4 linked regions of the Xenopus tropicalis genome follow. The protein of the gene in region 3 interacts with the protein of the main gene of each other region in a pairwise test. Links are inferred from orthologs where the notes say so. Each region holds a gene or a part of one and is shown on either strand. Other genes may lie near its edges. The genes, in order: pogz, hspb8, qrich1 and nfix.

Evidence for each region.
Region 1: the proteins of qrich1 (region 3) and pogz interact in binary tests that used the Homo sapiens proteins (3 or more experiments, as listed by UniProt). The two-hybrid records come from large-scale screens. The link is inferred for Xenopus tropicalis from reciprocal best matches to the Homo sapiens genes QRICH1 and POGZ.
Region 2: the proteins of qrich1 (region 3) and hspb8 interact in binary tests that used the Homo sapiens proteins (3 or more experiments, as listed by UniProt). The two-hybrid records come from large-scale screens. The link is inferred for Xenopus tropicalis from reciprocal best matches to the Homo sapiens genes QRICH1 and HSPB8.
Region 4: the proteins of qrich1 (region 3) and nfix interact in binary tests that used the Homo sapiens proteins (3 or more experiments, as listed by UniProt). The two-hybrid records come from large-scale screens. The link is inferred for Xenopus tropicalis from reciprocal best matches to the Homo sapiens genes QRICH1 and NFIX.

What each region holds. Positions count from the first base shown.
Region 1 is NC_030684.2:144,801,650-144,810,018, forward strand, and holds part of pogz (pogo transposable element with ZNF domain), read left to right. Parts: intron 1-1; coding exon 2-119; intron 120-234; coding exon of another isoform or gene 235-278; intron 279-351; coding exon 352-666; intron 667-1,660; coding exon 1,661-1,861; intron 1,862-1,984; coding exon 1,985-2,094; intron 2,095-3,168; coding exon 3,169-3,491; intron 3,492-3,776; coding exon 3,777-3,931; intron 3,932-4,767; coding exon 4,768-4,868; intron 4,869-4,990; coding exon 4,991-5,137; intron 5,138-5,273; coding exon 5,274-5,405; intron 5,406-5,931; coding exon 5,932-6,110; intron 6,111-6,687; coding exon 6,688-6,828; intron 6,829-7,855; coding exon 7,856-7,915; intron 7,916-7,997; coding exon 7,998-8,113; intron 8,114-8,236; coding exon 8,237-8,261; intron 8,262-8,369. UniProt on the Homo sapiens protein: Plays a role in mitotic cell cycle progression and is involved in kinetochore assembly and mitotic sister chromatid cohesion.
Region 2 is NC_030677.2:165,804,161-165,813,017, forward strand, and holds the start of hspb8 (heat shock protein beta-8), read left to right. Parts: upstream 1-3,511; 5' UTR 3,512-3,754; coding exon 3,755-4,139; intron 4,140-8,857. UniProt on the Homo sapiens protein: Involved in the chaperone-assisted selective autophagy (CASA), a crucial process for protein quality control, particularly in mechanical strained cells and tissues such as muscle. Displays temperature-dependent chaperone activity.
Region 3 is NC_030680.2:136,782,677-136,789,949, reverse strand, and holds the end of qrich1 (glutamine-rich protein 1), read left to right. Parts: intron 1-166; coding exon 167-275; intron 276-988; coding exon 989-1,143; intron 1,144-1,801; coding exon 1,802-1,901; intron 1,902-3,502; coding exon 3,503-3,695; 3' UTR 3,696-4,384; downstream 4,385-7,273. UniProt on the Homo sapiens protein: Transcriptional regulator that acts as a mediator of the integrated stress response (ISR) through transcriptional control of protein homeostasis under conditions of ER stress.
Region 4 is NC_030679.2:139,500,417-139,508,785, reverse strand, and holds part of nfix (nuclear factor 1 X-type), read left to right. Parts: intron 1-1,465; coding exon 1,466-1,525; intron 1,526-2,427; coding exon 2,428-2,502; intron 2,503-2,607; coding exon 2,608-2,728; intron 2,729-4,089; coding exon 4,090-4,226; intron 4,227-4,610; coding exon 4,611-4,733; intron 4,734-5,200; coding exon 5,201-5,379; intron 5,380-7,721; coding exon of another isoform or gene 7,722-7,878; intron 7,879-8,369.

The sequences.
Region 1 (8,369 bases), on a different chromosome or scaffold from region 3:
GGGTTTCCCGGTGCGGAACGTGAGGCCGGTGCAGAACGCCATGAACACCATGAATCAGGTGGGGATAGTGCTGAACGTGCAGCAGGGCCAGACTGTCAGACCCATCACTATCGTGCCAGGTAAGTCCGAATTGGACCCCAGTCTGTCACCTGGATCAGTCCGCTCATTAGCGGAAGCCATGTTTATCCAGCTTTCCTTGGTCTGTATCCTGTCCCTTTCTCTCTCCGCCCCCAGCGCCAGGCACCCAGTTCATGAAGCCAGGTGTGGGGGTACCGCAGGTCTTTACCCAAGTGACCCAATCTTTCCATGATTCTGGTTCTGTATCCTGTCCCTTTCTCTCTCCGCCCCCAGCGCCAGGCACCCAGTTCATGAAGCCAGGTGTGGGGGTACCGCAGGTCTTTTCCCAAGTGACCCAGGTCAGACCGGCGCCTTCTGTTCCAGTGCGGCCAGCCACCAACACCTTCACCACCGTCATCCCGGCCACCCTGACCATCCGAAGCACAGTACCCCAGTCTAACGCACAACCCAACAAGCCCACGGCAAGCATGGCCACTACCTCTGCACCCAGCCAGCCCATCCGACAGATTGCCATGCAGCCTCAACAGACCCAGATCCTGGCAACCAATCAGAACAGCCAGAGCACGAGCTCCAACCTTGGTAAGCTTGGTAAGCTGGGTCTCTCCTGTCCTTCCCCAACTTGGTACCAGTGACTGTGGGAGAGTGAATAGTTACATATGGGTCGGTTCCCCCTAGGCCCAAACTGTACTAATGGCAGTGAGGTGTTTATGGGTCAGTCCCCCCTAGGCCCAAACTGTACTAATGGCAGTGACGTGTTTATGGGTCGGTTCCCCCTAGGCCCAAACTGTACTAATGGCACCGACGTGTTTATGGGTCAGTCCCCCCTAGGCCCAAACTGTACTAATGGCAGTGACGTTTTTATGGGTCAGTCCCCCCTAGGCCCAAACTGTACTAATGGCAGTGAGGTGTTTATGGGTCGGTCCCCCCTAGGCCCAAACTGTACTAATGGCAGTGACGTGTTTATGGGTCAGTCCCCCCTAGGCCCAAACTGTACTAATGGCAGTGACGTGTTTATGGGTCGGTTCCCCCTAGGCCCAAACTGTACTAATGGCAGTGACGTGTTTATGGGTCAGTCCCCCCTAGGCCCAAACTGTACTAATGGTACCGACGTGTTTATGGGTCAGTCCCCCCTAGGCCCAAACTGTACTAATGGCACCGACGTGTTTATGGGTCAGTCCCCCCTAGGCCCAAACTGTACTAATGGCACCGACGTGTTTATGGGTCAGTCCCCCCTAGGCCCAAACTGTACTAATGGTACCGACGTGTTTATGGGTCGGTCCCCCCTAGGCCCAAACTTTACTAATGGTACCGACGTGTTTATGGGTCAGTCCCCCCTAGGCCCAAACTGTACTAATGGCAGTGACGTGTTTATGGGTCAGTCCCCCCTAGGCCCAAACTGTACTAATGGCACCGACGTGTTTATGGGTCAGTCCCCCCTAGGCCCAAACTGTACTAATGGTACCGACGTGTTTATGGGTCGGTCCCCCCTAGGCCCAAACTTTACTAATGGTACCGACGTGTTTATGGGTCGGTCTTTTGTACAATGGTCGCCCACTGACCAGTTTAACCCATGCTTTCCCAGTGAGTATTGCCAACCTGGTGGCTGTCAATAAGACCGGGGAGCCCAACGACCTGGTGAAGTTCGTGAATGCGGTGAGCGGCAATCAGAGTGCGGTTCTGAACTCCAGCCAGATTGTCCTGCCCAGCACCACCAGCAGCAGTACCAGTAACAGCAGCAGCACCGTGCAGAGGATCCTGCCCCCCGAGCCATCGGGAATGAAATGTAAGAAGCTCACCCTTTTACTTTCTGGGTTCTGCTCAAACATTGGGCCCGGATATAATGTCCCATCACCGTTCCCCCCCCCCCGTCCATATGTACTCACTGGTATCTCCTCTCACCTCTCAGGTACCGCTGCCTCCGTATCCTCCGCCGACTCCTCCGACAGCAACAGGAAGTTCTGCCCAAGGTGCCGTGCTCAGTTCCGTGTGACGGAGGCGCTCAGAGGCCATATGTGTGTAAGTCCCCCTCCCTCCTCCTCCTCCGATGAGAGTACAGGTATAGGACCCGTTATCCAGAATGCTCTGGACCAAGGGTATTCTGGATAAGGGATCTTTCCGTAATTTGGATCTCCATACCTTAAGTCTACTAAAAAATCAATAAAACATGAATTAAACCCAACAGGATTGTTTTGCATCCAGTAAGGATTCATTATATCTTAGTTGGGATCAAGTACAGGTACTGTTTTATTATTACAGAGAAAAGGGAATCATTTAACCATTAAATAAACCCAATAGGGCTGTTCTGCCCCAATAAGGGGTAATTATATCTTAGTTGGGATCAAGTACAGGTACTGTTTTATTATTACAGAGAAAAGGGAATCATTTAACCATGAAATAAACCCAATAGGGCTGTTCTGCCCCAATAAGGGGTAATTATATCTTAGTTGGGATCAAGTACAGGTACTGTTTTATTATTACAGAGAAAAGGGAATCATTTAACCATTAAATAAACCCAATAGGGCTGTTCTGCCCCAATAAGGGGTAATTATATCTTAGTTGGGATCAAGTACAGGTACTGTTTTTTTATTACAGAGAAAAGGGAATCATTTAACCATGAAATAAACCCAATAGGGCTGTTCTGCCCCCAATAAGGGGTAATTAAATAAATCTTAGTTGGGATCCATTACAAGATACTGTTTTATTAATACAGAGAAAAAGGAAATTAGTTTTAAAATTCTGAATAATTTTGATTAAATTGGGTCTATGTGAGACGGCTTTCCGTAATTTGTATATTTCTGGATAACGGGTTTACGGATAAGGGATCCCATCCCGGTAATACTGGTGCTTTATGGTGCAGATAACAGGAAGCTATAGAGGGGCAGTATTAGAGGCTCTCACCTTTATGGGATGGAGGGAAGCCCTGCAATAGGAACATAACTGTACATTGTGTGTGCGTCTCCATTAGCACAATATAGAGGGAAATTGAGAGTATATAATGGGAAGCCTTGGTGGGAAGGGTTTGGGGGATCGGCGGAGGCTCTCACCTGTGCTTATAACTCACTTTCCACTTACACGACCTCCATTTTACAGTACTGCTGCCCAGACCTTCTGGATTTCTCTAATAAGAGCAAGGAATCGGAGCTGCCCTCACAGACCACCCAAGCGATCTGCACTGACAAAATTATATCGGCAGCCACTCCCTCATCCACCACTCCTTCCACAACGGCGCCCCCCGCGGGCAAGGGGCAGGAATCTTCTCAGGAGGAAGGCATGCAGGGCAAGCTCATCATGCTGGTGGATGACTTCTACTACGGGCGGGATGTTGGGAACACCTACCAGATGCAGTCCTATCCCAAAGTGGCCACGACGTTCCGCTGCCCGCACTGTACCAAGAGGCTAAAAAATAATATACGGTAAGGGTTTGTCCTGCTCCTCTGGGTCCCTGGGGTAAAGGGGAAATAGTTAAACTCTATTGGATGTAGGGCATTGGCTTAGATAGGGGTGCCATACTGCTTAGTTGGCCCACAAGTTGGAATTGAGCTGATAACCTGGGTACCATTTGGGGCAGGGTTTTGGTATCTAAGTAGTATGATGCCCAGGGGTTTTTGCTAGTGGTTTACTCCTCAGTGGGTGTCTGTGCCATGCAACCCCAGATCTAGGGGTGTAACCTGTTACCCATAACTCCTTGCTTCCTTTAGGTTCATGAACCACATGAAACATCACGTGGAGTTGGACCAACAGAACGGTGAGGTGGACGGGCACACCACGTGCCAACACTGCTACAGGCAGTTCTCCACCCCCTTCCAGCTGCAGTGCCACCTGGAAAACGTGCACAGCTCGTACGAATCCACAAGTAGGTGCCACACACAGGGGGAGGAGCGATTTAGGCCCAAGGGCCCCTGGGCTGGCTTTGATAGGAGAGTTGGCCCTGCTAAGCATTATCATCCGCAGACATTCTGCCTATAGCATAGGAACATAGGATTGGGGCTGGTACAAAATTTGCCACAATGGCGCCTACCCACTGGCTCTGATTGTGACCTCCTAGAATGAAGGGAAGAAGATTTATAGAATTCTGTAGTGTAATTAACAGTTACTTTGGCCAACTAGCGCAGTAGATCTGGTTCAGAATTCGGCCAAGATTCTGCCGATTCAGCCGAATCCATGGTCCTGGCTGAATCTGAATCCTTAATCGTGACTTTTTGTCACATAAACACAGAAGTAGAAAACTTTTTTTTGTTCTTTTTTTGTTTTACCCTTCAAGTTAACGTAATTTGCATATGCAAATTGGGATTCAGTTTTGTAATCGGCCGAATCTTTCACAAAGGATTTGAGGTTCGGCCGGATCCCAAAATAGTGGGACCTTCTGTGATTCATTCATGTGATTGGACGACACAGGGATTACTTTGTCCCTTATTAGCTGCTGGGGGCGGGCGTAGTAAAAAAAAGAGTGGGTAGCAATATTCGATGAGAATGATGGGGAATGATGGGAAATTATGGGAGTGGGGGGCAGGGCTTGACGTGTAAGGGTGAAGACAAACATCGAGTTGTCGCAGCGACTTTTTCCTATTGGATATTTTTCTTAGTAAATGTTATACATTCAGGGGGGAAAAAAGGTTTAGTTTTACAGTTTTAGTGAATGTTGCCCCTAATGGTCGCTGTTGCCCCTAATGGTCGCTGTTGCCCTGGCAGCCAAGTGCAAGATCTGCGAGTGGGCGTTTGACAGCGAGCCCCTATTCCTGCAGCACATGAAGGACACGCACAAACCCGGCGAGATGCCCTACGTGTGCCAGGTAAGGGCAGTTGTCTCTCTTCTCTGCCCCTTCCCCCCCCCCCCCCCAACCCCCCCCCCCCCCCCCCCCCCCCCCCCCCCCCCGCTCGGCTCACTTCCCTATCCTCCATTTCTCGCGGGCAGGTCTGCCAGTACCGATCCTCCATTTACGCCGAGGTGGACACGCATTTCCGGCTGAACCACGAGGACACGCGCTACCTGATGTGCGTCTATTGCCTGAAGGTGTTTAAGAACGGAAACGCCTTCCAGCAGCACTTCATGCGCCACCAGGTCAGTCCCTTTTCTGTTTCCCATCAGCCCTCTGGGGGCGAGTTTTTAAATCCCTGTTGAGTTTAATGGCGCCTGTATCACCGCCTGTTTTCTTTCTCTCGGCACGCGCCTCGCCCCCCCACCGTGGAACCCGCAGAAGAGCGTCTATCACTGCAACAAGTGCCGCCTACAGTTCCTCTTCGCAAAGGACAAGATCGAGCACAAACTGCAGCATCACAAAACCTTCCGTAAGCCCAGGCAGCTGGAGGGGCTCAAACCCGGGACAAAGGTAAGGGGGTGCTGTTTGGGGTGGGGGGGGTGATATAGGGAAGAAATTGATTGGCTGTAAGGGACAGTGTAATGGAACCTGGCCTGCTGTATTGCCCAGGGATAGTATAATGCAGGGGTCCTCAAACTTCTGACCCAAGGGGCCGGATCAAGGGCCCCTCAGACTGTTGGGGGGGCTGGACCACCATCACCAGCAGCCACCGCCGGGGGGGGGGATGCTGGTGAATTAGCCCACATTCTCTTTCACATCACGCCCACCACCGCCTCCATCAAACCAGACTGTTGTCTTCACCTCCCAACTCGTCCCCCCCAGCGCTACGGTAAGTCCTACCTGTACCAGTTCCCCCTGGAGTCCGTCCTCCATCTCAGCTCCCTGCTGAGTCCTCTCTCTCCACTTCCAGGTGGGAGGACGCAGTGGGGGGCCGGATCCAATCCGTGGGCCGTAGTTTGGGGACCGCTGGTATAATGCCTGACCCTTCCCTGTGCATCCCCCCCCACCCACTTCCTCTCATTCTCCGTCCCAATAGGTTACAATCCGGGCATCGAGGGCACCGTCACGGTCCCTTCCTGTATCGTCGGCAGACACCACGTCGATGCCCTTAGTGGACATGGACACGGACTCGCTGGCCGACTCGCTGTATTCCATGCAGTACAAGCGCACGGTGAAGAAGACGTCTGAGAATCTCTCCAACATCCACACCAAAAGGTGACTGTGCCCCCCACTAGGTGCCCGACTTGTGCCCTCGGACCTTGGGCACTGGTGTACATTACAGTTGTAAGAGAGAGAATCTATGTAGGGGGGCATTAAATGATGTGCAAAACTAAAATGCACCCCTAGTGATGGGGGATGGAGTGCACTTAGAGCAGAGGTGGGCAAACTATAGCCTACCATCTCGTGCCCCCTTAAAAGAATTACAGCCCCTGATTGGTTGCGCCCCGTGCATGCGCATGACATCAGCACACACGGGGCGCAATCATATAAAAGGATGCAGCCGGAGGAGGGAGGGAGCCGCAGGTAGCTGGGGGAAGAGGGAGAGATGGCGGATGCTGGTGGGAGGACGCTGGGATGGAGGATGCTGGGGGTGGAGCTGGAGGATGCTGGGTGGGGAGCTGAGAGGCCCTGTAATTTGTGACACTGGCCTGGCCTGGCGGTAAGTCAATGTGACCCCTGAGCCAAAAAGTTTGCCCACCCCTGACTTAGAGTATAGATTTTGGGGAGTCACAGAACCTCATCTCATTTATTATTCCTTTCACTTTCTCATCATTTTTGTTGTTGCCCCCAGACCACCCTATGGCAGGCAGTCGTGCCTGGAGTGCAGCTTGGACATCACTGACTTCCAGAACCACTTCCCCACCTACGTGCACTGCTCCCTGTGCCGCTATAGTACCTGCTGTTCCCGGGCGTACGCCAACCACATGATCAAGTAAGTACCCTCCAGCTGGCCAGTTTGTAAAGGGATTCATGGGTGGGTATTGTGTATATACTGTGCCAGTGACACTGGTTGGGTCAGACAGACCCGGTATTGTGTATATACTGTGCCAGTGACACCGGTTGGGTCAGAGAGACCCGGTACTGTGTATATACTGTGCCAGTGACACCGGTTGGGTCAGGCAGACCTGGTATTGTGTATATACTGTGCCAGTGACACCGGTTGGGTCAGGCAGACCTGGTATTGTGTATATACTGTGCCAGTGACACCGGTTGGGTCAGACAGACCCGGTATTGTGTATATACTGTGCCAGTGACACCGGTTGGGTCAGGCAGACCTGCTATTGTGTATATACTGTGCCAGTGACACCGGTTGGGTCAGGCAGACCTGCTATTGTGTATATACTGTGCCAGTGACACCGGTTGGGTCAGACAGACCCGGTATTGTGTATATACTGTGCCAGTGACACCGGTTGGGTCAGACAGACCCGGTACTGTGTATATACTGTGCCAGTGACACCGGTTGGGTCAGACAGACCTGCTATTGTTTATATACTGTGCCAGTGACACCGGTTGGGTCAGACAGACCCGGTATTGTGTATATACTGTGCCAGTGACACCGGTTGGGTCAGACAGACCCGGTACTGTGTATATACTGTGCCAGTGACACCGGTTGGGTCAGACAGACCTGCTATTGTTTATATACTGTGCCAGTGACACCGGTTGGGTCAGACAGACCCGGTACTGTGTATATACTGTGCCAGTGACACCGGTTGGGTCAGACAGACCTGCTATTGTTTATATACTGTGCCAGTGACACCGGTTGGGTCAGACAGACCCGGTATTGTGTATATACTGTGCCAGTGACACCGGTTGGGTCAGACAGACCCGGTACTGTGTATATACTGTGCCAGTGACACCGGTTGGGTCAGAGAGACCCGGTACTGTGTATATACTATGCCAGTGACGCCGGTACTGTGTATATACTGTGCCAGTGACCCATTTGCCCTTTTGTTTTCCAGTAACCACGTGCCGAGGAAAAGCCCCAAATACCTGGCCCTCTTTAAAAGCTGCAAACCCAGGTCAGTGCCGTGAGTGAGGGGAAGGTGTGGGACGGCCGTGGCCGCGACTCTCTTTGACCATCTTCTCTCCATTTCTTCGCAGTAGCGTTGTGGCACTTACCTGCTCGTCGTGTCCGTTTGTCACTCGGATCGGGGACGCGATGGCCAAGCACCTGGTGTTTAACCCGGCTCACTCCTACTGTAACGTCATTTACCCCGGTGAGGCCCCTCCCTTATCTGCCTTTGGCCCTTCAGATCTAATTGGTTGGTGTTTATCATGGGAGACACACTACAGATCATGGCTTTTGCTCATATATAATTTTATTTATGTTTTATTTTCAGGTTCATCCTCAAGCTGCTTTTTAAGGTAAGGGCTTTTCCCAGCTGTTTAGAATCTTGGTGGCCCCCCAGCCTAAGTGCATCACTTGCGTTTTCCCTCCTGTTAATGTTAATTCACCTCCCAAATACTCCAAAT
Region 2 (8,857 bases), on a different chromosome or scaffold from region 3:
ACTCATTTCGACCCGTTCGTGGGTAAGTAAATCAGCCCCTTAGCCTTATACTATGTATACTATACTACACTACACTATACTTTTGCAGTAGGCAAAAAAGGTGGCCTAGATGGGTGTTTAAACATAGAAGCGGGATAGAAGTTGAATACAAGGAATATCACTTGAAATTAGCTGAGGATGGATTCCAGAGCCATGGCTGCACAGAAATAAAAAAAGAAAAAATATTTAGGTGAGCTGATTATCATGCAATCTATATGGGTAGCCCTTTCCCAGTTACGGATGCTGCAGATCTGTGGCTCCAACTTAGGCAATAAGTGGCACCAGCAATACACTGTTGCACATATGCATTTGTAATATTTTCGGACAATACCATACAGCCATACAGCTCAAAAGATGGAATCTGTGCATCGGTGTGATATCAGCGCAAGCAGCTTATATGTTTGCAGGAAACTACCTATTCCCCTTCTTTCCTGTCCTATAAGAGGCACAGCTGTACAGACTCATGTTGGCTGAAACCATCCATTTACCCATACACATTATATGGCCACTGGTCCATGTGTGGAGCACTTTAATTTACAATTTGGGTGCTTGTATCTTGGCATGTGGTGCAGAAAAAAATATCACACTAATTACAATAGGCTCTACATAATGAAGCATTTCTCCTTTACTAAGTGAAGCATACTCAAGGATCATTGGTTTGCCTAGGCTGTAGCTTGTATGTAAACACTAAAACTAGCTCTGTGTATATATCTTATTAAAGCTGGTGTTTCATGTACTGATACAGTAATTTATTTTCGCTATATGCATGGCGGCTCACCCATATACTATGAATATTAAACTGTACATGTTGTATAATTTAATATGCCCATGCATCTTATCTGCTAGTGTATGGTGCATCAGTGTATAGGAAAGTGAAGAGGAGCTTCAGCTCTTCACTTCCTCCTGCTCCAACTGCCAACTTGGCCTTCTGTCCAAACAACTGGAATAATATAATTGTGAACAAGTGGTGTATAGCCCTTTGTATGGTATCAGTCATTGGGCCCAAGGGTAACTGATTGACTGGATACCTGTGAGGACTGGCCCCTGTATGGCTACCTTATGACCTTAAGAAATCTATGGAGGCAGTCTACTCCAATGTGTTTTAATTAACCTACAGGGGATCTATATGAATGATCAGAGTATTGCTTTAAATGATACAGAAAGCTTTTCCACACAATGTCAATGTATTTCTAGAATTGCAGAAGCCTTATGCTGCTAGTTTTTACTGCATGTTCCACTTAAAGGAGAAGAAAAGGTAAAAATCACTGGGGGGTACCAAATGTTAGGCACCCCCAGTGACTTTAATCTCTTACCTTTTACCCCGGGCTGGTGCTCCTGTGAGAACAAAACGGCACCAGCCCGGGGTAGCAGCGAGTGTTTCCTCTTCCTTCCTGAATCCAGGGGCCGGCGCATGAGCCATAGAGTGAAAAAGATGACTTTTTTGTTAAAGTTTGGCTTTTCACTCTACTGCGCACAAGAACGAAAAAGAGACACTCAGATGCAAGTACCCTGGGCTGGTGCTCTTTTCTTCTTACAGGAGCACCAGCCTGGGGTAAAAGATAAGCGATTATAGTCACTGGGGGGTGAAATTTGTGAATAAACATTGATTATGATTTATTCTTTCAGTTAAACTTATCCCAAAAACCCCTGGCTCACTTTTTATGGTTGTAGCTAACTACTGCCTCTAGATATACACTACGTGGATAGCAGTGTGCATACACCCTAATTCTAATAATTAGAATTGGCTATTTAAGTCTCAACTATCATTCGCCACACAGGTTCCTCAACATCAGGGGTCCCCAACCTTTCTTACTTGTGAGCCACAGTCAAATGTAAATCATAAAAGTTCATGGAGGAGCCAAATAAGGGCTAAGATTGGCTATTAGGCAGCCTCTATGCACACTATCAGCTTACAGGGGGCTTTATTTGGTAGTAAATCTTGTTTTTATTCAACCAAAACTTGGCACCAAGTCAACTACCTGGTTTGGGGGCACTGAGAGCAACATCCAAGGGGTTGGTGAGTGACAGGTTGCCCCTGAGCCACTGGTTGGGGATCACTGCTCTACATGATACAATGGCGTTCTTGACATATGAATGCTCCCTATTTTGTGGCAAAAGATTGAGGATGACCTTTCCTGTTTCAGCCTTATAATTACCCTATGCATAATATGAGGTCCATACAGAATTGGTATGAATTGGCTAAAATGGGAGAGGAAGAACTTGAATGGTCTGCAGCAAGCCCTGACATCAATCCAACTTAACATATGTGGCAAGAATTGGAATGTTGACTGTAAGCCAGGCCTTATCCCTAACATCAGTGCAAAGTACATATGAATGGAAGTAAATCCTATCCAAAACCAGGGCACCCAAGGTACTCTGCCTAGAGCAGCAGCAGCTTTTGGGGGCGTCCCTTGGATGTCTATATCATAGATTTATTTAAATAAAAAAACTCACCTGCCACCGGAGAGTTCCTGCATAAAACCAGTGATGGAGCTAGGGGGGGTGAGAGGTACATGATGCGGAAATGACATCCCGTGTAGGCTGCACGTGGCATCACTTCCGCAAACTGGGGGCTCATTTAGGTCTGGTGTCTAGGGTGGCACTGGACCTAAATACAGCATTGCCAAGTAGCTACTAGTAGATCCCCCAACTAGAATCAAATTAAAAACTTCCCAGTACAGCAGAGGGTTAAGGATGTTCTAGCAGCAAAGAGAAGAAAATTTTAATTAAATACATTTCAATAAGATGGTGTATATAAAGTGCCAAAATACTGCTTTGCAGCCTGCATTGGTCTGTATCTCAAAATCCTATTCATGCAAAGGGTGCTCTAGAAATAGAATGGAAAAGAATGTCAATTTTCCAAAATTGCCTAAGGGTTTACTTGCCCTTTAAAGGGGAAAACTAAATATATGCCAAGCATGCATCAAAATAAGGCTTGTACTGCAAATTAAAAGTTAAGTATGGGTTATTTAACCCATACAGAAAGGTACCAGTTAAAGGTAAAATGAAGTCTATATATAATATAATTTGTACAGTACAAAATATGCAGAATGAATAAGGCATTAGAAACAACTTAATGGAATTTATCCAATGGAGGGGGTGACCTTGTTTTATAAGAGTTTAATTTAATAACAAGTATAAAATGACACAGCCTGTGGTTTTCTCTAAATACAAATGTCGACGCGATGGGGGGATGGAAGACGCGAGAGGAATCAAGGAGGGGTCAGCAGGAGAAGGCAGTCTAAAATTGGATACCCTTAGTAATAGGTCCAGTCTCTTCTGGGAGTCATCAGCTGTTACAAAAGCAGATTCTTGTAGGGTGTTTCATAAGCTTCAAATACCCAGCTGACAAGCTACAGGCAGCAAGCATTAACAGGCAGATATAAATAGGAGCCAGTGACTGCAGCACAGAAGTTTACAGAACTTTCTCGACTGATGGCACCAGTGTTTAATAGACTTACTGGCAGCCACACGAGTCAAAGGATCAAGGCACCTCTCTTCTTTTCAATGAGTCTGCTCAGATCCAGAAAGATTTTAGATTGCTTTTAACTGATTTAATTCCACAGCTACTCTTTTTTTCTGGTTATTTTTTATTTTTTTTTGCTATTAAAGCATTCGCCAAGAGGCTGCACTGCCTGAAGATTATTCTGCCTGTACGGAAATTACAATAACCATAATCAGGTTGACATTTTCCAGTCACAGCTAAAGAAAAATAATGGCTGACAGTCAGTTACCCTTCACCTGCCATTACCCATCTAACAGACACAGGGGAAGCCGTGATCCTTTTCGAGAACAAGGACTGTCATCTCGCCTTCTTGATGAAGATTTTGGCATTCCACCTTTTTCAGATGATTTAACCATGGACTGGCCAGATTGGGCAAGGCCCAGACTGACTTCTGCCTGGTCGGGCCCTTTAAGATCAGGCTTGGTGAGATCAGGGATGCCCCCACCCGTATATAATTCCAGATACACGGGTTATCCTGACGCTCGTAACACTGTAGCAAATATCAGCCAGCCATGGAAGGTCTGCGTAAATGTGCAAACTTTCAAGCCAGAGGAGCTGACAGTTAAAACGAAGGATGGCTTTGTAGAAGTTTCAGGTTAGTAACAATATATACATATACACATGTTCTTTGCTTCACTGATCATTTAGTTAGGCTTATCTGGGGTTTATTTACAAATGTAAGTATAGGATGCAAAGATTTTTACCCACAATGCAGCATTTCCCACCACAAATGTTGCATAATTGTGGCAGTGAAAGAGTCAGTATTGGCACTTAGCATAAAAAAGATGTATGTATATGATTCTTTAGGAGTTTAGCAAGTCTACTGCACCTATTAACACAGCCTGTAGTGGGGACCATGGAATTAATGCCACTTTCCGGGTGGCAGTAGCACACTTGAACCTATTAAGCAATTAGGAACAGAAGGTGGGCACTGATGCACTCGTGCCAATGCGCAACTATAGGGTTTTGTGTGCTAAAAGCTTAATCGTCTGACAAAAAGACTTCAGAGTTAATTTATTACTACTGGCATAAGCTTTGACCTATCATTTAATCCATGCATTACAGAATAGAAAAAAGGAAATAATAGAATTACTAATAAGAACATCTAGGCATAGCAAGCAGATAATAATCTGCATATACTGATAATATTTGCCTCAGAACAGCAAAGCAACTAACTAATTTGGGGGTTGTGTATGGGCAATGCTCCAGAAGTCCCAGATTGCTAGGGATTTTAGGGAACTGTAGTTCACCTACAGATAGAGGCCTGTCTCGGACATAATTTAAAGGGATTCTGTCATGATTTTTACAGTGTAGTTTTTATTTCTAAATTACACTGTTTACATAGCAAATAATTCACTCTACCATTTAAAATTTTATTCTTGAACCAACAAAGGTGTTTTTTAGTTCTACTATTGGTGTGTAGGCGCCATGTGCCTGAGTCTGAGCTTTCAGAAGGAGCCAGCGCTACACATTGGAACTGCTTTCAGGCAACCTATTGTTTCTCCTACTCCCATGTAACTGGAGGAGTCCCAAGCCTGACTTGGATTTCTTACTATTGAGTGCTATTCTGATATCCACTGGGAGCTGCCATCTTGCTGCCTTCCATTGTTCTGCTGATCGGCTGCTGGGAGGGAGGGATATCACTCCAACTTGCAGCTCAGCAGTAAAGTGTGACTGAAGTTTATCAGAGCACAGGTCACGTGGCTGTGGCACCCTGAGAAATGAAGAATATGGCTAGCCCCATTTCAAATTTTAAAATTAAATATAAAAAATCTGTCTGAAAAACAGATGCAGATGCAGATTGCAGATTCTGCTGGAGAAGCTCTATTAACTGATGTGTTTTAAAAATGTTTTCCTATGACAGTATTCCTTTAATGATAAAGAAAAGTTTTTTGTCAGGGGGCTAACATTATCAAGTACACTAAAAGTGCACTACTTCGTTGGTGGATTATTAGCACTGGACAGTACTGAAACTGGTGGCAATCGATGGTGACTTTGCAATATCTTTACCCCAGCCTAGCAGTGTGCAGAATGTTACACTGGGGGTTAAAGCCAATATGGCTTCAGGCTAGTGGATTTATGTGTTCCAAGTGTGTGACATATGTCTTGTCAAGTCTTCATCACACACATCTTAAACTCACTCATATCCTTATACAGAATGCAATGTGGTTACAGCAAAGCATGCACAAAACACTATTTACTAGATCATGCTAGCACAGTAGTTCTCAAACTGTCAGGCTGTCTCTGTGAGGCAGTTGATGAGGGGGGCACTTGAAGGTCAATAAGGATAAAATGTGGGGTAAATGTACCTGTGATGTATATCTCTCTGCCTACAGTAAGGGGACTGTTTCTGCTAAGGCAGATATTCACAATTTGCGGGCCATGGAAATAAGACAGCATGCAGAAATAGGGCGGCACCAGTACCTGAAACAATGACCTGTTCCCTGTGTCTACACTTGTACTTTTCATTCCTTCAGGCTCAGTGCATCAACTGGGCCACATGGTGATTGGTCAATTTGACAAGAGGTTTAAAGTTGAACTTCCTGTCATCTTTCTGTTGCTATAGCAAAAAAGGAAAGGCCCTTTGGGAGATGGGCAGAGAAGGAGAGCAGAAGACTTAAAGAAAGAAGAGAAGGAAATAACAAAAAAGGCTAGGGAATAAATAGTTACATAGTTAAGTTGGGTTGAAAAAAGACCAAAGTTCATCAAATTAGCCCTTCCAACTGAACCCTAGACAATGTGAAAGGAAGCGAGACTGGGATATACAGTAAGAGGTACTTTGAAAAACAAAGAGGTAATACTATATTGAATTAAACCAAACAGAACATAAAAGGAAACTTTAGAGAGAAACCCATATATAAAGAAAGGATTTATCAGGTATCCTGGCAGGTATTCTGGCCCATTCCTCATGGCTGATCCTTACATATATGTATGTGCATATGTGTGTGTTGTGGGCTAGAGGACTTGAATAAATGTTAGATATCAAAGGGCCGGCTGAGAGAAAAAAGTTTAAGAACATCAGAGCTAATAATACACTAATTATGCTCACATATGTGCACATTGACAGGAGGAGAATCTGCCTTGTGTACTTGCTACTAGCACAGGTGCAACTGCTTGTAAGGCAACTGCCACTGGGAAATGCTGTCTTTAAAAGTGACAGTCATCTGAAAATTAGTTGTCACCAAGTTTATGATAACAAATAAATAAATAGCAGTGAACACAGGCCATTTTGAGCATTTAGTCCAACCTTCTTAGCTGTTAATTTCCATTGGAAACAGAACTGTGGAAATGTGCCACATTCCTTCTACTTCTTGCTCCTTCCATGGTTAGTGCAACTCACACCCATAAGACAGTACAGTTTGGCAACCCTCCAAACTGTACTGCTAATTGGTTTAATTACTCTTCTTATAAAGGGGCCTATTTATGATTGCTCAGGCCTTCAGGAAAGGAAACTCTGGGTAAATCTGCTAACTCACGCTGGGGTTTTGGGTCTGAATACCTTGGAAACTTTCCTTATTTTTCCTGAACGGGTTTCTGTTAAAAAAAACAAAAAACGTTTGGTAGCTTTAATGCAATTTGGAGCTGTTAGGCTCGAAGCCTTCAGCAATCATAAATAGGCACACAGGCCTGAGCATTTAGTCCAACCTTCTTAACTGTTAATTTCCATCGGCAACAGAACTGTGGAAATGTGCCACATTCCTTCCACTTCTTGCTCCTTCCATGGTTAGTGCAACTCGCACCCATAACACAAAATTCACAGACGAGTAAATTCAGTGCCTGACAGTTCAATGAAAGGGTATTCATTTATTGTGGGTAATCCACATGGCACATGGTGCCTATTTATTTGCTCCTTGCCTACCCCTCTAAATGAAATTACCAGTGGTTTAAAATCTTTTTTGTTTAAAAAAATAAATGTACCTGTCCCTAATTGTAGCCCACCATTGTGAACGGTACAGTATATATCTCCTGCTTGTCACATTCCCATGCTTAGCTTGCAGGGGAAAGCAAATGTCATTGTTCAAACATGGCAGCTCTAAAACAGGGTTGGCAGCAGGTACAGGGTTATATTGGGATAGAAGGCCAGGATAGGCTTTTTTTTAAAAGGGAACAGCTAGGGGTGTCACTTGGACAGTGCTAATAATAGGGGACATAGAAAACAAAGATAGGCCTCTATTTTATTTCAAGAGAGGTGGCAACCCTCCAAACTGTACTGCTAATTGGCTTAATTGCTTCTTATTAAGGGGCCTATTTATGATTGCTCAGGCCTTCAGGAAAGGAAACCCTGGGTAAATCTGCTAACTCACGCTGGGGTTCTGGGTCTGAATACCTTGGAAACTTTCCTTATTTTTCCTGAACGGGCTTCTGTTAAAAAAAAAAAAAACGTTTGGTAGCTTTAACGCAACTTGGAGCTTTTAGGCTCGAAGACTTCAGCAATCATAAATAGGCCCCTTTGTATATCAGTAACACATGTGCCTAGAAACACTCTGCAAGGCTTAAAGCCCATGGGGTATTAGCTGGGAACCTTTGAAAATGCTGGGAATTTTCTGGAACAATTCGTGTGCATATGGCACACGTAGGTTAGTAATCACCTATTTTTGCCATAACCACAGCAACCACTTGAGAATTATTAATGCTATCTGTCTGCCAATTTTTACCAGAGAAAATTTATTGGGGGAAAAGCCTGTTCTAAAAGCCTTGGTCCAAAATCAGCTTTTATTTATTGTACTGAGTACTGAGTCTTCTCTGTCTTCTGTACTTAGCAGGACAGCATAGGAAGTGTCCATATAATTAACCCTGTTGGCTCCTGTATTAAAACACAACCCACTGAAAATACTGGTTTACTGAAAATGAAATGTGTTCTACCTCTGCATCAATATGCATAAATTGTGACCATGACCAGTGATTACTTTATATGGGAAACTGGATTGTGAAGCTACATTTACCCTCTTTGATGCAGTTAAAATACTATTCATCCCTATTGTAAGGAGAAAATGCCAGATTAGATGAATAGGCTGGCAACCATTGCTTATGGGGTCCTGATGTACCCCTGGCTGCTGAACTGCATTTTTTTTGTTTGTTTTTATTTACACAGACATATGAACTGCTTGGCCTTGCCTTGCAATTAATGCAATTTTTGTGCATGTGTGAGGCATTCATTGGTTATCTGGGATATAGACAGGCTCAGACAGATACACAGATGCACATTGTGAAAAAAATGCTTATAACTCTTTAGAATTAATTTTGTTGGCCTGGGGATATATGTTACACTGATTAATGCAATCACTGAAAAAAGAGCAAAATGTGTACTGACAT
Region 3 (7,273 bases):
GAACACTGAACATCACTAAATATTGTTTCTCACTGTCCTTCAGGTGCGTCACTCGTACCTCCGTTATGGCCACAATTTTGTGGGTTCGTTTCTGGGTTAAATGTGTGATAAGATGGAAATACCTGGAGATGGAGATATCTTTCCTTATTTGTTCAATTCTTTTTAGGATATGTGATCCCCAGCCATGTGACCGAGGAAATGCTTTGGGAGTGTAAGCAGCTGGGCGCCCACTCTCCTGCCACACTACTTACAACACTTATGTTTTTTAACACAAAGTAAGTAATCTGAAAATAATAAACCACTTATTAGTCAGCAGATTTTGCCAATGGAAACTTTAGACACTTTAACTTAGCGGATATTTTAATTTCCAAAGGGCAGCATTACGGTACTTATATCAATAAATATACACAACACTTCTGCATAGAGCAAAGTAGAATCCATACGTTTAAGGCACATTTGTTGAACAATAAATCTTGTAAAAAATAAAAAAATGTTGGCCTTTAACTGTGCCATAACCTTTTTGCTTGCTCAGTGAACAAAGGTAGCAAATAGGCCAACTCTCTCCTATTAGCTACTTGGCATAGAGTATTCTTAGTATCTGCTTGCCCTTTAGTGCGCAAACATCACATAGTAAGTAGTCGAGCTGATGTATGAGCTAGGGCAGCTTAGGGCACTGTCTTCAAGGAGTTTTTATGTTCTCCCCATGTCTGTGTGGGTTTTGTCCATGTACTCCAGTTTCCTCCCACACTCCAGAAACATACAGGCAGGTTATTTGGCTTCTCACTAAATTGCCCATAGTGTGTGGGAATGTGATAGGGAGCTTAGATTGTAAGCTCTGCTGGGGCAGGAACTGATGCAAATGATGTATAGTCACTGTAAAGTGCTGTGGAAATGTGTCTGCACTATATAAAAAGGATTAGGAAATAGTTATAATTCATAGTCATGTTATAAATGGCCTGTTGTAACAAATAACACTTTCTACCAACAGATATTTTCTGTTAAAAACTGTTGACCAGCACATTAAATTGGCCTTCTCCAAAGTCCTAAGGCAAACGAAGAAAAATCCTTCCAATCCAAAGGATAAGAGCACGAGCATCCGGTACCTGAAAGCACTTGGGATCCATCAAGCAGGGCAGCAAAAAGGTGACAACTATAGTTTTATTCCAGTATCAAGGTCCAAGCCTAGTAAGGACCAGCTAGTTATGTTTCAGATGGCTAATGCCTCGATGCTGAATAATATAAGCTTAAGAGGTTTAATGTAGAATGACAAAGAACCAAGTGACCAAAAGGCCTGATAATTACCCATCAGTGCATTTTTTTTTTATGGCCATATCAATTTCCATAAAATTACCTCCTCCTTTGTGCAGTAGACCTAAAGGACACTATATATAACTAAAAACTCCTGATTTACATCAGCAGAACAGACCAGGAAAGTTCACTTAGGGCTGTTTTGACATGACCCATGGTTACATTTGACACTTTGGAGGTTGGTGGCTTCTGTTGCTGTGAGCACAGGGATTCTCAAATTACTGGATCCTAAGTGATTGAGGGATTTGGGTGTTAGCCCTTGTTGGGAAGCTGCCAGGCTTTAGGTTTTAAACAGCTGTCATGTGAGGACACTGACCCTAACTGCCTGATTCAAGCACTCTTTGTAGGCACTCAGAATTGCCGAATCCATGCATCCTGAATAAAACGTGTTGTGATGTTACTTGGGGTTAGTGTGGCTTTAGCAAAGGGCAGATATCATGGAAACAATGTCAAGCACTATATATGATTTTGATGCAAAAATTATTTCCCTCAGGTTTCTCAATAACAGACGACATGTATGCAGAGCAAACAGAGAACCCAGAAAATCCATTACGATGTCCCATTAAATTGTATGACTTCTACCTCTTCAAATGGTATGTACATCTTTGTGATCTAGTAATCCTCATCCATATTCTCTAAAGCACTTCGTCCACTTTGGTACCCTTCATCTGGTTATGAATCTACTGAAGGTCTTACATGTGTTGGTGGGAATTGGTTGAAGTTCACCCAGCCTAACTTTTCAGCAGACCACAGTGGTTTATGATGATGTGCTTGCTACTAACTGGATGAAAAAGGGAGAACTGGGGCAGGGTTTAACCACTATCCCATAATACAGTGCTTCCCAAACTGTAGGGCTGGCCACCCTAGGGAAACCTGTGCAGTCACTTGGTGGCTGCTCCAGCCTTTGGCAGTGATTACTGATAACAATGTTTAAAGAGAAAGAAAAGGTTTTACCCCATTTAATGCTGTCTAATAGAGGCCCCTGCGGGTACCTCATCGCTGAAATCATTTTTTAAAAACCCACTCCTGTCTCAAGTATTGCTCTCCCGAAGAAATTGCTGAGTGTGTACGATTAGAAGAAAATGAACCCCCCGTTTAAGGGTGAAGGCACACAGAGCTATTTAGTAGCAGCTATTAATGAGCTGGAGAGAGTGCAGAGACTGCAACTAAACTGGTAAAGGGGATGGAAGATTTAAGCTATGAGGTTAGACTGTCGAGGTTGGGGTTGTTTTCTCTGGAAAAGAGGCGCTTGCGAGGGGACAGGATTACTCTGTACAGGTACATTAGAGGGGATTATAGGCATGTAATGGGGGATGTTCTTTTTTCCCATAAAAACAATCAACGCACCAGAGGTCACCCCTTTAGATTAGAGGAAAGGAGCTTCCATTTGAAGCAGCGTAGGTGGTTCCTCACGGTGAGGGCAGTGAGGTTGGGGAATGCCCTTCCTAGTGATGTGGTAATGGCAGATTCTGTTAATGCCTTTAAGAGGGGTCTGGATGAGTTCTTGAACAATCGGAATATCCAAGGCTATTGTGATACTAATATCTACAGTTAGTATTAGTGGTTGTATATATAGTTTATGTATGTGAGTGTATAGACTGGTAAGTATAGGTTGTGTGTGCTTGGTTTACTTGGATGGGTTGAACTTGATGGATTCTGGTCTTTTTTCAACCCTATGTAACTTGTCAAGGCTACTAAACACCAGAAAATCCCCTGCCATAGACAATACTGAGAATTGCCTCTGCTAAAACACACATGGAGACAATTATCAGTAAATGATCAGCATTGTCTGTTTTCGTAGCTGTTACAAGTAGCTGCTATTAGTAGCTCTGTGTGTCTTCACCCTAACCAATAGCCCTCTGCAGAGGGCACCCTCTGCTCTTTCTCCAACCATATTGGTGCCTGCAAGTCCCAGGGCCCCCTATACCGGCTGTGTAACTGCAGAGGGTTTAGTGCCTGTCATCTGTGGCTGCATCACATCATGTTTCTTCTGAAAGTCGTCACTGACCAGGAGCATGCACGATGGAGGCATAGACCATATCGGCTTCCACTAAGTATGTTCCCACTCAGCAATGTCTGCCCTCTGTAGGGGAAGGGGTTATGGTTTCTCTTGTCTCTATCTCTGTAACCTATAATTGTTCAATTTAAATGCATAAGATTATTAATGGCTTGTTGTTGTCCCTCCACTCAACAGCCCACAGAGTGTAAAAGGACGAAATGACACATTCTATTTGACGCCAGAACCAGTCGTAGCACCCAACAGTCCAATCTGGTATTCTACACAGCCAATCAGCAGAGAGCAAATGGAACAGATGCTAACCCGAATTCTGCTCATCCGAGAGATCCAGGAAGCCATTGTGGTTGCGAGTGCCAGCAACATGCACTAAATCATTCTTTCTGGGCACAGAAGTCATGTAAAAGGAAGAGAGGAAATAAAGAAACCTGTACAGACTTTTACACTATGAGAAGATGCCTACTTTTTCTGTTATTTTTATTTTATTTTTTATTGGTGTAGTTATGGAGCCCTTTTAGGCTTCTCCTGTTTAAAATAAAGTGTAAGTAAAAGCGCCCAAATGTGCATTTAAAGACAAAAAAAAATCTGCGTTCCTAAATGGCTGGAAAGCGAAACGGTTATTGTTATTTTAAACCTTTTTCCCCCCCACCCCATATCCTTTTAGCATGGTCTAGAAATATTTTATTTTATTTGGGAAAAGAAAGAAGGCATCTTAGGTTGAATGGGATGGACTGTGCAGCTGCTCACGCCATTGCCTACCACATATATGGACATTTATTCTGTATTTTCAGTTGCAGGGCCAAGCGACCCCTGGTTTTATATAACTACATATATAAAAATATTTCAGAAAAAGTCGGATTATTTCACATTAACCTGAATATATTTCTTTTTTTTTTTTTTTTTCCTGGCCCAAATTATCAAGGCCTTAAACTGCAGGCATATGAGCCTATGTAAATTTATTGTAATATAATCTTGTGTATCTGCTGCAGATATCTCCATATTTCTCCATTGTTCTTATGCTCTTTGTTTTATTAAGAATGACAAGCACGTCTTTTTAACATGCCACTGACCAGTGTGTTTTTTATTTAGAACCTAATGCCCAGCCTCACTTTCCGTGGAATGGAACTATATTTGGCAAAAACAAGAAATTTTGATAACTGAGAGAAATATTCACTAAGCCTCTTGCCGTGAACATTACATTTATAAACGCAGATATAAAGCACACCTTTGCATATGCTTTCAGCAATAGAAAGTGCCTCATCTGCCCAGTGAGTCTCTGGCTTACATGTTTTTCAAATTAAATGTTACTGTACTTTGTTCTGTCTTTAAGATGCCTGTAGACCTTGAGACCCCCTCAGACCAAACTGAGCTAATCTGATCAGTCTGTAGCCCTACAGAGACTGCATCAATGTCCTCATCTTGATATCTGGCTCCTGGTATGGATGGCAGGATCAGTGCTCGGGCCTAGCTAGCCAGGCAACCTGCACCCACCCCCATTATTCCAAGTGCTGTCACAAGGGCCTGGACTAGGGATGGGTGATGAGATACATGCCTAGCTCCCCACCACCATTGTGCCCTAGTCACGTGCCTCTCGTGCCTACCCTTAGCTCCGGCCTTGGCCAGTACTCGCCCATACAGGGACCAATAAGCTGCTGACTTGGTCTTGAGGGGCTTGAGGGGAGAAAGCAGTTTGTATTGGCTTTACTCCCACATTCTGTTCCTTAGATTCAGTGTGGGCGTATATGAAAATATTCTTTTGGGGTTGATTCCCCCTGCATTACAGGCTGTCCTTTATTATTTCTGAGGCAAACAAAGCACACTGACTGCACCTTTGGCAGGGGGCTTAGATGTAAAAACAAACAGATTCCACTGCAAGGTTTCATTTTAGTCATTGTAACTAAAAATATAGGAAGGATACATTCATAGCAAAAGTATATACTGTGGTGTCAATTAAGGTGACATCACTTCTCATTAATCTAATTATACAAATTCTCTTGTATAGTAATAGAATAATTTGGCTGATGTCCAGTAACCCACAGCAACCATTTTGGTGTTTATTTTGAACCTGCTGGGTTGCTATTGGTTACTAGAATTAAAGATTCCCCCCTTCTTGTATAGGCCCCAGCTTTAGATGCATCTGTTTTTACTTTTGTCTCATACTCCTTTAGTGTTGCTCAGACTGGGGAGGTCCCAAACCCAATTCAACACTGATTGGCTTATTCCTTCAGCTAAACCAAATTTTACAATTGTGTCAACTCTAACAAAGCTGCTTCATACACCCAATGTATTGGCCTTGGGTACAATATCGAAATTTGTGTCAAATGACTGCCCTCACAGCATATGGAGAACCATGTGCTTTAATGTAGAGTAGTGCAGTGGGCCGGGTACCAGCAGCTGCAAAAAAAAAAACCAAAAACTGTACCATGTGGGTAGGATTTTTAGATGTGGGTTGGTGGGTCTTATCTATATTTCTTTTATCTATATTCCCTGCCGACTTCCTGTTTATTGGATCCAGGATCCAGTCCCAACTTAATAGTAGAGATGTAGCCCTGTCTCACTTTCTAGCTTTAAAGGAGAAAGAAAGTCATTTTGGCATTTAATAGATTTGCCACATTAGTGCCACCTAGAACAATATATTTATTCTGCAGAAAGCATTACTATACCTGAGTAAACAACCCTAAAAGCTCCCTCTGTTTGTTTAAGATAGCAGCTGCCATTTTAGCTTGGGGGGGGTGGGGTGTGAGGGTTAGTTTTATGAATCCTTATGGGATGAGGGAGCAGGAGAGAGGAGCAAATTGGGCAGACTCCTGCCCCAAACCTGAATAAGCCCTAAAGGAGAGGAAGTCTGATACTGAAGAACATGTTTACAAAGAAGGAGACAAGAAATTCTGTGTTTCTTTTGTAAGAGGACTTTGTATTTACATAGACCTTTCTGATACAGCTTACTTAGTTTTTACCTTTCCTTCTCTAAGTATAGTGACAGTCAGACCAAAGTGTCAGTTATACCAAGTGAACTTCAAGGTCTCGGGCTAATGTCACAAGGCACAGTTTTACTGGCGGTGGGGGACAAAATAATTTAGTATGAAACCACTGAAGTGTCTGGACTAAATGGGCCGTTTCTCCTCCATCTGTGCAACAGTTGCCTTGTTCTTGTGAATAAAGCTTCAGAGTTCTCTCTGGGGTAAATCTATAGACCAATTCCCCAACTTATCTGCCTAGTGGCCCCAGTGGCCCTACCCGAAAATCGACCAGGTGTTAATTGGGCAGGTCTTCTACTGGATGGATCTCGGACCCATTTGCATCTTTCAATGATAACGGTCATTGGGAAACCACAAAATTAAAGACACTATGTATTCAATTAAGTCTCCAAAACATGTCGACCCTAAAGGCCCAGGGGCCACCCACAAATGCGGGGCTTGAAACCAGAATATAAGAAAATCATCCACATTTGGGTCGTTCCAACTTACGCCGGGGGGGTTGACTTGCTCTTTATCCAGATGTTGTCCTGCTCTGGGCAATGCCCGATGTTTGGAGCCAGGTAAGGAGTTGTATTTGTTATTCCTTGCCTTCAAAAGCTGCATTATATTATATAATGGAGTCATATTAAGAGGTTTATGGAGCCCTCGGGCAGACTGGAAGCCATAAAAATGCCTCACAGGCCAAAGCCAGCCTATGGGCCTCCAGCTGAACAGCCTCAATGAAACACTTCCCTTTGATGGTGGCATAGCGTTCTTGTATTTACTCACTGTCATGGAAAGGTGCAATATACAGCAAGGTTTAGAGTCACCAAATAACTGGCTGCAATCAAGCTGGGTTATGTTTAATTAGCACAACCTAATTATCAATTATATTTAGTCCAATGACCATCTGAGTAACCAATAGGTAACACGTGTTGGGCAACTTTGTTTTTTAAATGCACTAATATTAGAACTGGGCAGTGATTGCTTAAGA
Region 4 (8,369 bases), on a different chromosome or scaffold from region 3:
GACTCCATGTCCCATAGTTCCCTCCTGTCTGTGTCACTGTATCACCCTGAAGTGGGAGGGACAGACTCCGTGTTCCATAGCCCCCTCCTGTCTGTGTCACTGTATCACCCTGCAGTGGGAGGGGCAGACTCTGTGTCCCATAGCCCCCTCCTGTCTGTGTCACTGTATCACCCTGCAGTGGGAGGGACAGACTCCGTGTCCCATAGCTCCCTCCTGTCTGTGCCACTATATCACCCTGCAGTGGGAGGGACAGACTCTATGTCCCATAGCTCCCTCCTGTCTATGTCACTGTATCACCCTGCAGTGGGAGGGACAGACTCCATATCCCATAGCTCCCTCCTTTCTGTTTCACTGTATCACCCTGCAGTGAGAAGGACAGACTCCATGTCCCATAGCCCCCTCCTGTCTGTGTCACTGTATCACCCTGCAGTGGGAGGGACAGACTCCATGTCCCATAGCTCCCTTCTGTCTGTGTCACTGTATCACCCTGCAGTGGGAGGGACAGACTCCATGTCCCATAGCCCCCTCCTGTCTGTGTCACTGTAGAACCCTGCAGTGGGAGGGACAGACTCCATGTCCCATAGCTCCCTTCTTTCTGTGTCACTGTTTCACCGTACAGTGGTAGGGACAGACTACATGTCCCAGAGATGTCAACCTACCAAAGGTGCACAACTGGGGGAACTGGGCATACAGCCCTCACCAGCAGAAATGTAGCTTCTGGTGAGGGTTTAGTAACTTCCTTTGAGAGTTCATCCTCTTTCTGTGGTAGTTTGGTAACTTCCTGTGGTAGTTTAGTAACTTCCTGTTTGTAGTTTCGTAAATTCCTGTGGTAGTTTACTAGCTTTCTAGGTGCCTGTGGGAATTTATTGGCTTCCTGTGGGAGAAAATAATGGTAGCTTGTACATTTATCACTTTTCAAAAGGAAAAATCATTTTTAGCCAGCAAAATATAGCCACTACTAATGTATGATATTAACCTTAGCCGGCAACACAGGGGCCAGGGACTGGCATAATAATGGACAGATCGGAATGGAGCGCCTCATACTAACACCTTTACCTGGGATCTCCGAGGGATATAATGACGTTTTTCATTCAGAGCAGAGAGGGGGAAAGAGGGATATTTGCTCAATTCTATATTCCTGTGTGACTGGCTTTTCAGATAAAGTACAATTTCTCTTGTCTTGTGACAGGACTGCGGGTTTCTCCCATTCTGCCTGCACCACATTGTTTTTAGCCACAAATGTAAAAATGCATCATTATTTTTAATGACATAATTCATTTGTAATTTGGCCCAACGGCTGCTGGTTGGGAGGAGAAAGACTGTTATTGCCAATGGAGTACATGCAACGGGATGGACATGTGACTTGTCAGCACAAATTACTTTTTTAACCAACATTTAAAATGACACTTTAAAGCTGATTATGGACTAACACTAATTTTATTCCATCGCTTCTCTCTCTTTACAGATTCTGGACAGTCGGACGCTTCAAATCAGACTGAGGTGGATATAAAGCCCCCTCCAAATGGTATGTTCCCCTGATAATTTTTCCTGTAGTGCATCAGTGGGTCAGCTCTGAAGCCACACAGTCCCCCCTGTTACTATTTCACCAGTCAGCTCCTACTTATATCACTCCTTACTATTTGTCCCTCCCTGTTGCTACCTAATCACCTCCTCCCCATACAAACACACTGTCTTGCAGCCCCCCAATTACACTCCGTTCCCCCAGAGCAGACCCTCCAGACGAGACTACCCCTTCCCCTTATACACTGCTTCCCTATCGCTCCTTTATACTAACCTTTATTTAAACTGTTTCTCATGCAGTTTCATCCTATTATTGCCCATTTCATACTCTTTCTATGAAGTGCTCCCCATTCACATGACCATTCCAATACAATTTTTCCCAGTAGCCCCATTAACATACACACTTTGCCCTCATCAATGCCTTTTCAATGCATTCTGTTCCTTTACCTGCCCATAACTATAGGATCCCTCCTGTTCCCATATAGTCACTCCCTTTTTCTTCCTACCATCATAAAAGTCTTCCCTATTATCCACATTTCCATAAATGTCATATGTCATAGCAAATCATATTTGTGTGGCATTATATACATTTTTATGCCAAAAATGCATCCACCCCCACCTATACTAGCTCCTTCCATTGCTTGGAACTTAACAGGTCCTCCATTAAAAATTTTAGTTAACTCCAAACCCCTCTCAGTCCATTTTTATCCACCTTCCTTTTATTTCTTTTGAGATTTTGTTTTTTAATTCTAACCAGGACTTTGGCTACAAGGTTCCATTGTAGCAGGGTCTAATGTGCCCAATTACATTTGTGAAATAGTTTCCTATAAGCTCCTCTTTAGCTTGTTATTACCTCTCCTCTCCCTGGAACCCCTAGGCTTTTATAGCCTCTATGTTTTCTTGCAGGTCACCTGTCCTTTCAGGATTGCTTTGTCACCTCAGGAGTGTGGAACGTCACTGAGCTTGTACGCGTGTCCCAGAGTGAGTTGGTAGGGTGTGGAGGGAAAGTAGAGAAAGGGAACCGTTGAATTAAGTCAGGGTACCTAAAGTGGAACTTACAAGTCATTGGGGTGTTTTGTTTTCTAGCACCTGTTGCCACATCATCTGGCCCCAACTTCTCATTGGCTGACCTGGAGAGCCCAAGCTATTACAATATAAACCAGGTGTCACTTGGTAGGCGGTCCTTAACGTCGCCTCCTTCCAGCAGGTAAGTCAGATGATCCTGAGATACACAATTTTGGACTTTCATGCAAAGGGAATTGTGGGAAAGCAGTTAATATTGAAGACCTTCTGAGTCATATAAAAAGTAGCTAGAGAAATGGTGTCTGTCCCTCCCACTGCAGAGTGACACTGACAGGAGGGAGCTATGTGACATGGAGTCTGTCCCTCCCACTGCAGGGTGATACAGTGACACAGACAGGAGGGGGCTATGGGACACGGAGTCTGCCCCTCCCACTGCAGGGTGATACAGTGACACTGACAGGAGGGAGCTATGTGACATGGAGTCTGTCCCTCCCACTGCAGGGTGATACAGTGACACAGACAGGAGGGAGCTATGGGACATGGAGTCAGTCCCTCCCACTGCAGGGTGATACAGTGACACGACACAGACAGGAGGGAGCTATGGGACACAGAGTCTGCCCCTCCCACTGCAGGGTGATACAGTGACACAGACAGGAGGGGGCTATGGGACACGGAGTCTGCCCCTCCCACTGCAGGGTGATACAGTGACACAGACAGGAGGGGGCTATGGGACATGGAGTCTGTCCCTCCCACTGCAGGGTGATACAGTGACACAGACAGGAGGGGGCTATGGGACACGGAGTCTGTCCCTCCCACTGCAGGGTGATACAGCGACACAAACAGGAGGGGACTATGGGACATGGAGTCTGCCCCTCCCACTGCAGGGTGATACAGTGACACAGACAGGAGGGAGCTATGGGACACGGAGTCTGCCCCTCCCACTGCAGGGTGATACAGTGACACAGACAGGAGGGAGCTATGGGACACGGAGTCTGCCCCTCCCACTGCAGGGTTATACAGTGACACAGACAGGAGGGGGCTATGGGACATGGAGTCTGTCCCTCCCACTGCAGGGTGATACAGTGACACAGACAGGAGGGAGCTATGGAACATGGAGTCTGTCCCTCCCACTGCAGGGTGATACAGTGACACAGACAGGAGGGGGCTATGGGACATGGAGTCTGTCCCTCCCACTGCAGGGTGATACAGTGACACAGACAGGAGGGAGCTATGGAACATGGAGTCTGTCCCTCCCACTGCAGGGTGATACAGTTACGTAGACAGAGATTGGTATGGGACATGGATATTGTCTTTTCTATGGAAAGTTAGTGAGGCTTTTGCCATTGTGACATAGTAGGGCAAATTAGCTAACACAAAAAAAAACCCATGACAGCCATTCAGATGTTTGCTTTTATTTTCTAATTTCTAGTGTACTAATTAAACTAATGTCTGATTGGTTGCCATAGCTAATTGGACCCATGCAGTAGAGCTCCTATGTTAGCAGTGTACAAAGTTATTATTTGCTTCTCAATTCCCACCTTACAGTTCTACCAAGCGCCCCAAGTCTCTTGATGACAGTGAGATGGAGAGTCCAGTGGATGATGTTTTTTACCCGGGGACAGGTCGGTCGCCTGCAGCAGGAGGCAGCCAGGCCAGTGTGTGGCCAAATGATGTAGACACAGGTAATGGGGCTCTTCATATTCTGTGCAGATTAATATAACACAGCGCTATAATGATATTATACCCTATATACATCATATTCAAGGGATTCATGACTAGACTGTTGGCAGACAGTCTGTATACTACAAATAAATTATCTATACATTTTCATACATTATTGGCAAATACTGGTCTTGTTATTGGTATGCAGGCAAAAGGGTATTGGGTACAATTTAGGTAAGTCTTGCTGTAAATCTGTATATTGCAGCAGTATTTCCAGTGCTTAGGGCTATGGCAAATAAGCACATTTGCTTGTGCCCGTTTGGCATACTGGGATACAAAATAGAAAAATGATGTAAAAGTACAGGCGCTTACACTTTGTGATTTTCCTCTCTGCTCATTTTAAGGGCCTGGGTCACTTAAAAAGCCGGGAAAGCTGGATTTCTGCAGTGCTCTGTCCTCACAGACCAGTTCCTCTCGAATGGCATTCACCCATCACCCTCTCCCAGTGCTGGCAGGAGTGAGACCAGGTAAGGGCCGGATCACATGCATGGTGCTGCTTGTTCCTTACAATATCACAATAGTATATATATAGGGCAACAATGTATATTTAATGATGTGTGTTCAGCTGAAGTGGCAGGTGTTAGGAGATAGATAAGGAAATGACTGCTGGAAGCAAGCGCTTAGAGGGTTACATCATTTGTTCTGCTCAACGGGGGCCGCTATCAGTCGGAGCTGATTCATACCACCTGTCTAACTTGGGAGCTGTTCAGGTACTTGATGCCATGTAGGTACCAGTATGCAATAAATCATTTGATGCAGGTATTTTTTTTTTGTCTACTGCAACAGCAGTGTATTGTATGCAGCTCCGTACAATGCTAGTAAAGGGGGTTCACTATGTGCACTGTTCCAGGTCGTACAGGAAGGGGATATTTGTGAATGCCATTACATTTTGTTTGTAATGATTTCTGAGACTTCTGACTTCCTCCACTTTCAGGAAGCCCTCGGGCATCAGCGTCTGCTCTTCACTTCCCCTCAACGTCCATCATCCAGCAATCCAGTCCTTACTTCACCCATCCAACAATACGCTATCATCACCATCATCATACCCAGGACTCTCTTAAAGAGTTTGTTCAGTTTGTCTGCTCAGACACCTCTGGCCAGGGGTCAGGACAGGTGAGTAACTCGCACTGAAGGTGGAGCAAAACCTGTTGTTTTTTTTTCTTTTTACGTTTTTTATCCATTTCTATCAAAACAAATAGAAAATAGTAGAAAAGGTTAAGTATTAGGGCTTAGAAAACTCTTTGCCATTGCAGGTAATTTTTATTTTCATTACGTATTTCTTATTTATGTTTTAATATTTTCAAATAACTTGTGTTATTTATACATTAATAACACATGTATAAATAATAAAAAGTTATGTGTTTAAAATATTAAGGATTAATCTAAAAATCGAAGTGCTCATTGCAAACAAATTTATATAAAACATGCTCAGCTTTTGCATTTTTTTTATGGGAAATGACTGGATTCTCATGATATATATATATTTTTTTTTAACTTTGATGGCGAAAATTAATTTCTGCTTTTGAAATAAAACTCATGAATTCAAATGATGGTTTCAAAAACTCAAATGTTCCAATGTTTAATATATTTAATAAGTGCAAAAAGTTCAAAAACACTCAAATGTTGAGTAGAATATGAATTCCAGTTTTTTAATGGTTTTATTTGATGGTGTTTTTTACATTCTTACTTATTAATAATCACACATTTGAGTTTGGTAAAAATTCAAGTTTATTCAGATTGAAAAAGCTAAAATTCACCAGTTCAAATTTGGATAAATAAACCTCCACAAGTCTGATTCTATTTTTTTTATCAGAATAAATGCAAATCTGATATTCCAAATTGTACCGAAATCCAAATTGTTATATGACACAAATGAAAGTCAAAAATTAAACCTAAATCATATAAAAAATAAATCCAGGTCTAGCAAAGGTTAAAAAAATAAATATATTTATTTTATGGCAGTTTAATAAATAATAGGTAGAAAAAATAAATAGGGTCGATAAAAATAAAAATCCTTTATTTTATCTGATTGGTTTTCAGTATTTTTATAGTGCAGAGGAAGCAGCTTGTTTTTGTAGTTTCATATGCTGTATACATATATTTTTATTTTTACAAATACAGGTATGGGACCTGTTATCCAGAATTTGAATCTCCATAGCTTAAGTCTGCTAAAAATCATTAAAATATTAAATAAACCCAATAGGATTGTTCTGCCTCCAATAAGGATTAATTATATCTTAGTTATATCTTAGTTATATCTTAGTTGGGATCAAGTACAAAGTACTGTTTTATTATTACAGAGAAAAGGAAATAATTTTTAAAAAAATAGATTTATTTGCTTGTAATGGAGTTTATGGGAATTGGCCTTTCTGTACTTCGGAGCTTTCTGGGTAACGGTTTTCTGGATAAGGGATCCCATACCTGCATTTTGTTTTATGGTCAGCAGACTTTATTGAATACCCTGTAACAATGCAACTTAATTAGCCAATCTTAATTGGTGTTATCTTTAGAAAACGACCCCAAGTGTAGCATTTTTTTTTGTGTAAAACAGCAATAACTGTCTGTGCGACTGCACAAAAACGGAAGCGCTGCTGTAGGGCATCTGCATTGTATAAATAAATAATACATGCGTGAATTTCGTTTTAGCGATAGCGTAGTGGGCGTACACTGATTGTTCACACATAGGTTGCCACAAAGTGTGTTTGAAGGTTTACAATAAACAGATATATTGCAAGATACCGCCCTTCTGGTAACCACGCTGGGCACTATGTTGGTCAGTATGCCGGGCTTTAGTTTTGGGGCTCAAGTGCCGTTTTGTTTTCCTACCACTGGATTTCTCTCTCTATAGAATGAAGCACTCCTTATCATTTGCTTAAATTAGATAATGGCTCAACCTAAATTATATACATATAACCTGCGATACTAGGTTTAAGTCATACTTCCCTATACAAAATATTCTGTGATTGTCAGCTCTTCTGTCCATTAATCCACATTGAAGAAAACATTGCACCTTATCTCTAAAGCTCCTTATTTCTACGTTCTCTGCTTTTGTTTTTTTCAATATCATCTGTTCTTCATTTATGTTTCGCTATTTTAAATTACAACCACAGAAGTCATTTTTTTCCCCATTAACCCCTGTTTTAATTAGCAATTGATTTATTTTTTCTAAAATGTCATAATTAAAAAATATGATAAGTTATCTATTTTACAAAGTTTTATTTTTTTTATGTTCAGTTTACAAAACCATGAATACTAATAGTAATCATTTTTAATCATTTTACGTTTTTCTTTATTATTATTATTTTTGCCTTATTTTTTTTAATTCATTTTTTATTTTTTTTACACATACCCCAGTTTCCCGTAGTTTTTAGGCACAGAATCATTTAGGGTCGGTGCGGGCAAGGGGCCACGCTGAGCTCCGTTTACTCTCGCTTTGTTATTTATGTTGTCCGCAGCCCAGCAGCGGGGCCCAAGGGAAAATGTCGGGTTCCTTTTTGCTGCCACCCCCTGCACCTGTGGCCCGGCCTGTCCCCCTTCCCCTGCCAGACACAAAACCTGTCACCAGCAACAACTCTGTCTTAGAAGGAGGACTGTCTTCTCCAGCGTCGCCCTGTAAGTGACATTACTCCACAAGTCCCATAAACAAGAGAGTAGATCAGTGTCGCTATATTATCTCAGTATATGGCATTGGGGGGGGGGGTTATAGAAAGAAATACTTTACAGAATGGAATAGTTTGAAAAATGGAAATCTTAATTAAAAAAGAAATGACGAGCCAAATTGAGGGCAGAGGATGAGAGATGAAAAATAAAGGTCATTTCTACAATATAACGTATAGAGGTGGAGGTCGGCCATTGCTGAATTCTACTGAATAAAGGCAAGGGGATGACTGCAGGATGAATAATGTCAAAATTAATTGAAACAAATTAAAAAGTCAAATGAGAAAATCAAAAAATAAATACAAATTGAAATGTGTTATGCTTTGTATGGTTTTTAGTACACATTTTGGCAAAATATATTCAGTACAGGGTGTGATGTACTCGTAGATATTTCCCATTGTGCACCAGGCATCATTCTAACCCTATGAACTGCATTCATCCCACTT